Tamandua tetradactyla: one gene and its partners. The protein of the gene in region 2 interacts with the protein of the main gene of each other region in a pairwise test. Links are inferred from orthologs where the notes say so. Each region holds a gene or a part of one and is shown on either strand. Other genes may lie near its edges.

Region 1 (3,748 bases), on a different chromosome or scaffold from region 2:
ATATAAGTAGAATAATAATCATCACTTACTGAGTACTAATTATGTACCAGGCTGTGAACATACTTTATTTAATCCCATGATATGCAAAATTCATAAAAGCCTCTCAAAACAGTTTTTATTAATCTCTTGTTATTGATGAGGAAACTGAGGTAATCATCCCAATTCAAATAAGTAGATTAGTCCCAAAATCAGGGCTGTATCTTCCATCTCAGATTAGTGGTTTTTCCACTCTAACAATGGGAGGTAAGGCATGTCAAGAAAAAAAAGCAGTATGAAGTCTTCTATATCCTCTTTATATACTACCCTTTTTTTTTCTTTTTTAATCCGTGATGTGATTTATGGGTTAGGAAAAATTCGGTATCATTACTAAGACCATCTCATTCTAATGAAAAAGAACTCGGGTGCACATACTATTTTTGCTTCTTCATTAAGCTGTGGGTACCTCAGCACTACAGGTGATGTGATCACTTGGTAATAGGATAGTACTTTGAGTTTACTGAACATTTTTCTAACCCTTATCCTATTTGATCTTCACAATAATCCGATGAATTAGATAAAGGGGCTATAATCAAACCCACGCTGTTTTTACTAATGAGGAAACAGACTCAGTTTCCTTGAAAGTCAAGTCAACTAGGAAGTGGCAGAATCAGAGATGAAAATGCCTATCTTCTGACTTCTAGGCTTTGATCAATTGTGCGTAAATAAATCTTCATGGTTAATCGCCATCACCAGCAAGCTGTATTCTTGCTTCGTTTATGCTCAGCCATCAATTGGGGGAAGGGGTGGCAATCACCCAAAGAAACTGACAACCATGAGATTTACAGAAATGATGCCAATACCTAACACAAATACTATTTCTTGAGTAACCATTTCAATGCAGTGTACTAAAGTATCAAATAAAGAAAAGCAGTTTTCATCTTTATGTAAGAAAGTAAAATTCCAAGACTTATTCCTAATATATCTTTGATATACATCCAGAATTTATATAGTCAATAGCCTCACACTTCATATTCTAAATGCTCAAAGTATCAGCGAGAAGAAATTGAAAACCATTAGCAAAACATGTTATGACAGTGTCTTGTTATTTCAGAACATATTCCAATTTCTTTAGAAAAGAAGAACAATAAAGAAAAATAAATCAAGCATGGTGCTAAAATTAACTGTTGCCAGCGGGCCTGGAATCAGATCGCAGGGTTAGAAGAAGAAGATTATCTCGATCAGGAGGACTTTGCCCTCTACCCAGAGCTGAACAATGGCCAAATACTTATCGGACCTCTTTTCAGAGAGCTGGTGAATGCCCATTCAAGGTCAAAAACGCTAACCATTCTTAATTGTAGCAGAAATTTATTATATACCTTTTATTTGCGTTTCTGCTGTTATGAAGACTTTTGCTCACTAGTCCTCTCATTGGGATATTTGTGAATTGCATGCAATTTATTATTTGCTCCACCTTCTCCACTTAAAAAAACAAACTACACATGTAATATGCAGATGTGCAGGAAAACAAACAAGAACACAAAAAATTTTAAGTTACCCAGGGACCCTTCACCCCTCCCCCCAAAAAACAGTTAACATTTCTGTACATATTTCTAGCTCTACGTGAAGGTATACATATATACGCTACATTTACAAAATGGGATCACACTACAGTAAACATCATTTTTTTTAAAAAAAGCAACTTTGAAATACACGTTAAGCACCCTATTACTTTTCCAACCAACAATAAATGTCTATGTAAAAAACACAGTACATAAAGGGCAGTAACACATCAAATAGAACCTTCTTTAATGCCTTTCATGCAGTGTAAATATTCTCTCCTAATCCTTATTAAAATAAGGTAAATATTTACAATTAAAATCTACCTCTTCTACTAAAAGGTTTAAAAAGCACTTTCACCTCCATTTTAAAATCAGTATACCTATTTTCCACATTTTAAAGGAACTGAAACACAAACACGCAGGAGAGCTGGAACTAGACAAGCGTCCACTACGTGTTCAACTCGGCGTCAAACCTTTGATTACAGAGATGGTCACTTACTGGTTGGGCATATCCTTCAGTCAGGCACCAACTTTTACCCCTTTGCAAAGAGAAAATCCGCTTCAATTACTTGTGTGCCTAGGCTGTACTGAAAAAATAAAACCAAAAGGGCTAGGCAGCGTGGCGAGTGGTTAGACTACGGGCTGGAGAACCGCACCGGGCCCGACGCGAGTAGGGTGCGAGGGACGCAGAGTGTGGGGTGCCCTAGGGTGCGGTTCTAGGCGCTGGGGAACCCAAGGCGTGCGGGAGGCCCTAAGGTGCGCGGGGCGCGGGGCACGCCTGGACCACGCCACCCGCATCCCCGCGCCGCGCACGCAGACGGTGGGCCTGGGGTGGGGGTGGGGTGTCCCGGGAGCGACCCCAGAGGCCCAAGCTGACCAGCAGCAGGAGGCCGAGGCGCGCCGAGGGCGGGATTAGGTGTGGCCCTGTCGTCGCGAGGGCGGAGGGTTCCGCCATCCCGCCCTAAAACGGCGGCAGGTTTTCGGTCCGCACGCCCGGCGGCCCCGGGCCCGCCCTCCCGTCCTCCCTCGCGCTCCCCCGTCCCGGGCCCGCCCAGGCGCAGCCCCGCGGTCCAGCGGCCCCGGCACGGGCGGAGGAGTGCGCGGCCCAGCGGCCCAGTGCCCCGGCAGGCCGCACCGCGCTGGCCTTGACGGTCGCCGGTGCTTCCCGGGCGACCCGTCTCCCTCCCGCGCGCCCCACGCTCTGCCCAGCAGTCCCGGCCCGGGCCCCAAGGCCGTACTCACCGCCGCACGCCGCGCCTGCGCAACTCTCCTCAGGGGACCGCCAACCGCGAGGGAGGTGACGAGCGCGGGCGGGGCGGGCGGCTGGGGCGCGCGACCGCACCCCGCCCCCTGCTCGGGAGAGACCACCGGCCTCCTGGCCTGGGGGTGGCCGGCGCGGGGGTGTGGCCCCTCATACGCTCGGCGGGTGGGCCCTACCGCTTGGTCCGCTGCTGGCTCGTTGGCCCGGGGGCTCCCCTAGGTCGCCCGCGAAGGAGTGGGGGCGTCGCTGCGGGTGGGCAGCCTTGTCCCCAGGAAGCGCCTCGGGGCAAGCGCGAGAAGGGTTTTGCCGGGATCAAGGAAGGTATATAGACCTTGGAACCCCCGAAGTGCCAGAGCGTCCCGGGGCCGGAAGCGCCCGGCTTCTCCTGGCGTCCCGCGAGGAGCCGTGCCGGGTGGGTGCCGCCGCAGGAGTAGGTGGAGGGCGCCCGGGCGGCCCTGGGTCCGGCTGGCCTCAGCCCCTCCTCGACTCCAGGGCCAGTGTGGTATTGGGGCTGGGTGACCTGACCTACGCGAGGCCCCGTGAGCGCGCGGGGGAGCGTCAGTGCTGCGAGAACGCGGCTGCAGGACCTGTCCGCCCTTGCACGAACTAGCGCGCACGTACAAGTTGATCCTCACGACCACGTGTCGAGGTTGTTCCCACTTAGCAAGTTAGAAATGTGAGCCAGTGAGGGGCTGGATACGAGTCTCAGCGCCCAGGGTTCAGGGAAGTGGCAAGGGAACGAATGCTCCCCTGGGGCTGTTCGCGTTCTAGGCCTGTTGGTGGTCAGCGCTGCAGTCAGGGTCGCGTCCGCGCCCGCGTTGCCTTCCCCACTCCCGCCCGGCCAGCGACCGGTGCGGCTGCAAAGTGACCACTGACCCCAGTTCCATCCCCTCGTGCCCCCAGGAGGTGAAGCCACGCTTTTATGACCGGGTAACCTTGTGGATGTGCT
Region 2 (3,748 bases):
CGGGCGCTGCACATGCACCGCTTGCTCACAGACACACACGTGTGTGCGCACACACCTTGTAGCCCTCGGCATCCAGCTCACGGAGCTTGCGTGGAATCTCGAGGTACAGCATCCTAGGGTGGGGAAGCGGCAGGGTAGCCAGGAGCTCGGTGGGAGACTTTGGGTCCCACTCCCTCCCTGCTCTTGCCTCTTCTCACCTCCAGTCAGTGGGGCCAGTGGGAAAGACCTTCCCTGAGCGTGTGGTGATGAGAGTCCCATCCAGGTCAAAGCCGGCCACCTGGTGACACCAGGAAGAAGGGAACACAATGTGATTACACTTCTCATCCTCACCCACAGACAGATTCACATGTGTCCATTTTACAGGTGGGGAAACCGAGTCACAGGTGAACATCTTATGCAAGGACACAGTCCCTCCAGGACCCACCCTCACTGCCTCTGAGTGCAGGGCCTGATGTGTCTCTCATTGCTTCTGGATGTCTCAGTATTCCACTCTTTAAAATGGGCATTCTTAGCTTCGTACTCTCCTTGCCCCACCTTCTTCACCTCCAAGGGCTAACAACAGGAATTAAAAACAGGCCAAGTTTTATTTGGGTGCTAACTGTAAGCCATGTGTTTTTCATGGATTCATCTTTTCAGAAACGAGGGAATGGGGGTCCAAGCCCTAAAACAGCATGCTAAGTGCCTTTGAACTCAAGTCTCTGGACCTAAAAATGATTCATCATAATGCTCCTGCCACAGTTCCCAGGTGGCTACCATAGGTCAAGCTGGAGCTGAAAATATAATTTCCCCTGAATTTGTCATGTGAGAACTCTAATGACTTGCCCAGGGGCAGAGAGCAAGTGTGTGTGGGGTTGGGTCCCCAGTGGGGGTCCCTGCAGCCCCAGCTGGGCCTCACCTTGCCACAGGCCTTCACCCCAGGTGCTGTGAACACTAGCAGCTTTTCCAAGTCCTCCCAACCCGGGGATGACTTCCGCATCCTCTTTTTCTGCGGCCCAGAATCCTGCCCCATGGCTGGGGCCACCGGAGGGGTACCCGGTGGAGTGTCTGGCTGGGATCCTGGTGTGTGGGCCTCTTCCCATCGCAGGGTCAGGGGATAAAGGCCATTGACCAAATACAGCTTGTCTCCTACTCCCAGGGTACTCTCCAACCCAGGCTTCAGCTCCTGGGTCCCGGCAGTTGAGGGGTTAACTCCCAGCTGCAAAACAAGAGCGAGGAACCAGCATTGGCTCTGCCCCACCTTAGGAATGTCCTCCCATCAAATGCCTTTGTCCATTGCCATTCAGGCCCTTAAGACCCACCTCTTCACTGTGTACCACCAATTCGGGTTTTAGAAAAGATTTCAAAGGCAGGGTGTAGCTTGGTTCAGTTTGAATGAGGGTAGATAGATAGATACCCCACGGAAACAGGCAGCTCTCTTGGAGTCTCTTTACCGGTCACATCCCACCCTCCCCAGCCCATCAGATTTTCCCAGGAGGTTGAGGCTCCTCCCCAGACCCCGCCCCCCGGCTTTCCGGGGCGGGGGTGGGGTGGGGGCAAGCTGAGGCTCTGGTACCTGTTTCACTGCCACTGTCCGCGTCTCAGGGTCTGCGACCAGCTCCACTGAGGGTTGAGGGGTGGAGTCAGGATTGTCATCTTTGTGTAGTGGAATCCCTCGTTCCTGGGCCCCAGGATTGGGCTGTAAGCACCCTTACCGGGGAATTACTGATTTCTGAAGGGACTGGCTCACGCTTTCACACACGTGATTGTAGGTAGACTGAACCCCCAGGAAAAGGGCGGGTACTTTTCTCGAGAGAACTGGCTGCCTCCTTGACAAAAGGTGTGGCTACCTGCTGGTTCTGGGATTGCCAGTTACCAGCCATCCCTACCAAGCAACCTCCACTTTTCTCCGAAGGGGCGGCTCTCTCTAACAACGCCCGTGGCTCGTGAGCATCCTTCTCTGCCCACTGGTGACCCTGTCCCTGGCGCCAGCCCCCCCTCCGCAGACAGTGTGTGGCCAGCACCAAGTCAGGCACAAGCCAGCTCCAGGGTTGGCTGCGCCGTGCAGTCCCATGCGGCAGGCAAGCGTCTCCCTAACCGCGCCTACGGCCCCTCTTCCCCACCCGGTGGCGTTCCGGCTCTACGAGGCAGGCCACGTCTCCGCCCACCTTGGTTTCTGGAGCACTTCCGGTCGGCGACCTGGGTCAGAGGCCCCCGGCCCAGGACGAGGGTTTGCCCGTCCGAGGGCAGGAAGATGGGAGGTGCCCCACCAGGTGGGCTCTCCAGCCACAGGCGGCCCTGGGCCTCCAACTTGGCCATCCCGGCCCGCGCCTAGCGGGAAGTAGGTTTAAGAGTTTGAGTGGCAGATTTGAGTCCCGCCCTCCGTCCAATTCCACCTCGGTTTGGTTCCTCCCGAAGGCCCACAGGAAGTCTCACCTACCCACAGTTCCCCATCCCAGACCCGCCACTCGGAATCCCCTCCATTTAGCTGCTACCAGCTCCGGAAATCCCACCCTGCCGCGCCATTTCCCAGGCGCTGACCCCCGGCTCCATCTCTCCGGGAGCCGTGACGCCGAGTTGCCCGGACCAAGGCCGCGAGCCTCGCGTGGCGCTCCCGGCCCGCCCCCAGCCTCACCCGTGCGCGCTGCGCGGGCTCGCGCGCCACCTCCCACCTGGGAACTCCCGCCGGAGGCGCTCTGCGGGCAGCCGAGCCGGCCGCTTTTGCTGGTCGGTGGCGGACGGAAATGACTCTGCCACCGAAAGGGGCGGGGCCCGGCCCCTCCCATCACAGCAGCCCCGCCCCTCCTCCTGTCGCTTGTGCCTGCGGTCCCTTCTCAGCTCTGACCTCGTCCCTCCTACTACAATGTGAGATTCAGGCCAGTAGGGCGAATGTGTCCGTTTATAGTTTTTCCTCTCATCATCTTGAACACTTAACTTACATCCTCTTTGCTGGAGACCGCTACAGCGGAAGTAGGTTCTTTCGCATTTGAAGTGGAAGATACCCTGTCACTGACAGCAGCACTAATCCTAGACCGTTCTGATTTAACCGCGATGTTGCACTTTTCTCATTCATAAAGTGCAGATAATCATCTCCGCTTCGTGAATTACTAGATTCAAGGGGTAAATACCCGTAGAGAGCTTAGAAAACGTGCGGTCATAGTAGACCCGGCTACATTAGGTTGTCTATTGCTCGCACCCTTCCCATGGTGCTCTGTTGGGACATGGAGGCGTCATGAGTACTTTGCGGAGTCCCAACTTCGGGCCAGGTACCACCGGCTCTCTTAACTTCTAGTCTTCTTTTGGTAGGAAACCTGCGGCCCCATCTGGCAGTTCCTGCCAGAATCGGAGAATTATGTGGGTTCAGGAGACTGACTCCTAAAAGACATTCGGATTCCAACCCTAATACCCCTAAAGACGGGGGCTCCACAGTCACACAGACCTGGAATCCTCTTCCCCAACCCGCGAATCTCCGTTTTCTTGTAAAATGGGCATAACCCCAACTCCCAGCTTTGTACTGAGAACCAATGAGATGTTGCTCTTTCAGCTTCAAAAAAAGTTTGAATGAACACCCGTTAACACATATCATACTCGTCAGAGGTAAAACTTTTAATCGCAGCGATCCCAAACTCCTTAACCCACCCCCCCACTCTCTCCCCCATACCAGGGCCGGAGAGTGCGGCCCCCTGTCCCCCACCTGGGGTGGACGAGGGCCCTTTAAGGCACCTGTGGGGGTAGGGGAGAGGGGCGGGAGCTGGTACCGTCCTGGATGCAC
Region 3 (3,748 bases), on a different chromosome or scaffold from region 2:
ATCACTCCAGAAAAAGAAAAACCTCATACATACCATAACCCTTACCCTTCCTTCTCATTGACCCATGGTTCCTTTTTATTGCAAACATTCTAGAGGACTATATCAGTTGGCTATTACTTCCTTTTCTCCTATCAAATTATATGTACTTGAGCATTGAACTGATTTTATCACAGCAATTTTCTCAATATAAAAGTGAGTATACTGAGTTTATAATTCCATTTAAAATATTGTCTTTGTTTTTGAACATAGCTTTGTAGTTTTTGTGAAACTAATATATGGGCATTGTGTCATGATTTTTTTAACTTTTTTTTTTTTAACAAAGGTAAGAGTAAGTTACCTGAATTCTATTGCTCTGAGTTAACTGGTAATATTACAGTGAATATCCATAGCACATATAAATATGTATTCATTTTAATATAATTGGAATCTTAGAATACATATTCTGTAATTTGCTCTTTTCACTCAACAATATATGGTAAAAAAAAAACAATATATGGTAGACATTTTTCCTTGTCAATAAATGTAAGTCTTTATCATCATTTTTTATGTCTGCATAGTTTTCATTATCATTATTTACTTAACCTGTTCTTTATTGTTGGATTTAGGGCTTCTACAAACAATGATGAATACTTGTGAAATTTTCTTTGTAGAATAAACTCCTAGACCTAGAAATGATGGGTCAAGGAATGTACACAATTTATGTTTTCATACATATTACTAAATTGCTCCTACAGAAAATTGGCCCATGCTCTAACCTATTATCAGATTCCCTTATTCATAGTTGGAAATCCTGTTGGCAGTCTCTCAGTACATCAGCATAGTAGCAATTTAGTACAGTAGTTTTCTTACTTTGAACAGTAGTATCACAACTAACTCATGAGCTTCTTCAGAATTCTGGGGTTTGTTTGTGCCTTCTGGTCCTAGTAATATGTGTCCCTCATCATTTGCCTCTACTGTCTAGAACACTAGTGATTCAGACAGTACAATTTTACATGAGATTGAAATGACAAGGAATTGTTGGACTAGAACCCAAGTGTTCTTTTCACTGCTTCTTGGATCTGCCGAGTCTGATATGCTTCAAAGGACAGTTTTGAAGTAGGAATTTCCCTTATGGTATATTCCATAAAGAGCAAGACTATTTGTTTCAAGAAAACTGATGCTATTTCCTCTTTAACTTCTTGACCAGAATGAAATAGCAATATCAGTCACTAGATGTAAAGTCTTGGGCAAACTACTTACTTTTTGTACTTTAATTTTACCTCATTAGATCCTCATAACTGCCCTGTGAAATTAGATACTACTACAGCCATTTTACAGATGTAGAAACTGAAGCTGAAACTAAGTGGTATGCCAAAGTCACTTAGCTTGTAAATGGTATACCTACGTATAAGGAGTCTTAAGTCTAGAGATCTTTTTTGCTAATCTACAGGTACCTCCATATCTGATAGTTACCTATTTTTAGTTAATGTTTATTTTTCTGGTAATAGTTATCAAATACATGTATGTGTCTGTGCTCATTCTAAGTAGTTGTCAATAAATTTAAAGAAGAGTTGCCATCAGGTGATATTTTGGAAAAGGGAAACAGAAACTTACATATCAGCTGATCTTTATGATATAGTTTGATATAGTTCTTAAACCTTAACAGACGGTTTTTCAATCTAAGTTTTCTTAAAATGTTTTACTTTTTTAAAGTTTGGTTTTATTTGGACATTTGTACACTTAGTTCTTTTTCTTCTAAAAGGCATTTACCATTTCTTTGGTATATGGGGTCAGATCAAGAAATAGTTTGCTCATGGTAAACTGATGCAAAAGTCATTTCCAGCTACTTTTTTTATTCCCCAGCTACTTTTTTAAACCTAATGAAGACCCATTTTTCAATAATCTTCTAAATTTTGTTTACTCCTCTTAAAGATAGACTTTTTAGGAACAATAGCATGTATTATTAGCATAGAAGTAATCATCTATTCAAAATTCTCTTATTTTACAGACAAAAGTAAGAGAAAATGAGTGATTTTATCCAAGGCTGGAGCAAGAATCACAAGATTTTAAATACTCGCTCTGCATTCCTCTTCTGTGGGAGACATTTACTTGCAAATTGTCTCCTTCAGCTCTGGATGCTTTTGCCTTTTATTGTGTTCTTATTGTTTTAGTAGTTTGCAATGTGTATGATAAAAGTGAAACAAATAGGGCCTTCTGGAATTTAGTTGCCAGTCTTTCTAGGATATTTAAGTGATATCCTAAAATCTTGCCAGCGTTTCCTTATTTTAAATGAGATTTTCAGTCAACAAATATTTGAGTCCTGACGTGCAGGTGGCACGGGGAATTGCATTTTCACAGTGAATTGAAGGAGGAGAGGAGTCGGTTTCTTAAATATTTGACTAATAAACTAGTACCTTTAACTGTATATGACAACAGGGAAAATTTTTCCTTGGCTAGACAAACTGAGGGGTTTATTATTTGTTTAAGCAAACGTTAACACCTCCATCAGTAGCAATTCGTTATATTTCCTAGAATAGGGGCTAAGAAATACCTTGGAGTCTTTCCTTCCTGATGTGATTTCCCAATTATGTCATACCTTCCTGAGGCTGCACTTAAATCCCACTTTTCTGCATGAGCGATGGCGAAGGCACTGGCAGGTTTCCAAACGTCTGCCTCAGTTGGGAATTTCTTCCAAATGTTGCTGTCAGACCACAAAGCTAGCTGGTAAAGTGCTCACAACCGAACTTCAGAAGGCGCCTACCCAGGAGCCAGAGCGCGCCTGCGTGTAGGAGCCCCTTTGTTACTCCGGCGCTGGGGTCTGGCTGCGCCTGCGTGGTGAGCCGGCAGGGACAACTGCGCTGCGCGACTGGCACCAGCTGGGGGCGAGCAGATCTCCGACAGTCGCCGCCGCCGCCGCAGCCGTTGCGACCATCGCAGCGGAGTTCAGAGGGCCCGGAGGTGGGGGACTTCCCACGCTGGGACTGAGATGTCGTCCACCGCAGCGTTTTATCTTCTCTCCACCCTGGGAGGGTACTTGGTGACCTCATTCTTCTTGCTCAAATACCCGACCCTGCTACACCAAAGAAAGAAGCAGCGATTCCTCAGTAAACACATCTCTCACCGTGGAGGTGAGAGGGGTCCCCAGAACCCGATGGCAGAGGGGGAGAAGCTTTTTTACCGACTAGAGCTGAGGGTCTGTTGGATTTTCGAAAAAGGCAGGCGGATGGAAATAGCGTAAGAGTTTGAGGAGGAAAGCGAGTGTGTGCAGAGAGGACATCCCCGGAGGTGAAGACGGTGTGAAGGGGGAGGTCTCTGAGGGAAGAGAAGGAGTCTTGAGGCAGAGCCAGGGTGGTCACGGTGATGGGGTCTCTCCAGGGCAGAGGGTGCGGTATGAGGGGTTCTGTGAAGGAGGAAGGAGCAGGGTGACAATGAGAGGTAGATAGACGGAGCGTTTCTCGGTGGGTGTTTAAGGATAATCGCAAGGTCCCATCACAGCTGCGAGACACATTGGGGGAGCGCGGTGCAAGACTGGCGTACCCAGCCTGGGGAGCTGGGTGCTCACGGCTCGGACAGCGAGCGGGTGGCTGAGCGTGTGGGGAGAGCCTGAGTGATGAGCTTGGGCACCTGAAGGCTTCCAGGGCTTGGGAACAAGATGAAGCCCGTGCAGTGCTGCATGCAGCCCGGGTATGTGTAGTCCCCGGGGGCAGGTGCTGCCCCCACGCTTTGAACACTGCTGAAAGCGGTGGCCCAGAGTCACACAGAGGAAAAC

What was found. The genes of interacting proteins can lie anywhere in the genome.
Region 1: the proteins of PNKP (region 2) and ZNF639 interact in binary tests that used the Homo sapiens proteins (3 or more experiments, as listed by UniProt). The two-hybrid records come from large-scale screens. The link is inferred for Tamandua tetradactyla from reciprocal best matches to the Homo sapiens genes PNKP and ZNF639.
Region 3: the proteins of PNKP (region 2) and TRIM37 interact in binary tests that used the Homo sapiens proteins (3 or more experiments, as listed by UniProt). The two-hybrid records come from large-scale screens. The link is inferred for Tamandua tetradactyla from reciprocal best matches to the Homo sapiens genes PNKP and TRIM37.

Annotation. Positions count from the first base shown.
Region 1 is NC_135331.1:77,607,789-77,611,536, reverse strand, and holds the start of ZNF639 (zinc finger protein 639), read right to left. Parts: upstream 2,872-3,748; 5' UTR 2,781-2,871; intron 2,549-2,780; exon of another isoform or gene 2,416-2,548; intron 2,395-2,415; exon of another isoform or gene 2,126-2,394; 5' UTR 2,038-2,125; intron 1,473-2,037; exon of another isoform or gene 1,356-1,472; intron 1-1,355. UniProt on the Homo sapiens protein: Binds DNA and may function as a transcriptional repressor.
Region 2 is NC_135342.1:11,295,014-11,298,761, reverse strand, and holds the start of PNKP (bifunctional polynucleotide phosphatase/kinase), read right to left. Parts: upstream 2,743-3,748; 5' UTR 2,649-2,742; intron 2,308-2,648; 5' UTR 2,296-2,307; coding exon 2,145-2,295; intron 1,600-2,144; coding exon 1,553-1,599; intron 1,476-1,552; exon of another isoform or gene 1,196-1,475; coding exon 896-1,195; exon of another isoform or gene 637-895; intron 627-636; exon of another isoform or gene 364-626; intron 349-363; exon of another isoform or gene 278-348; coding exon 198-277; exon of another isoform or gene 114-197; coding exon 56-113; exon of another isoform or gene 1-55. UniProt on the Homo sapiens protein: Plays a key role in the repair of DNA damage, functioning as part of both the non-homologous end-joining (NHEJ) and base excision repair (BER) pathways.
Region 3 is NC_135332.1:40,340,743-40,344,490, forward strand, and holds the start of TRIM37 (E3 ubiquitin-protein ligase TRIM37), read right to left. Parts: upstream 2,802-3,748; 5' UTR 2,576-2,801; exon of another isoform or gene 2,531-2,575; intron 1-2,530. Other genes in the region: lysophospholipase D GDPD1, read left to right, coding at 2,966-3,107. UniProt on the Homo sapiens protein: E3 ubiquitin-protein ligase required to prevent centriole reduplication. Probably acts by ubiquitinating positive regulators of centriole reduplication.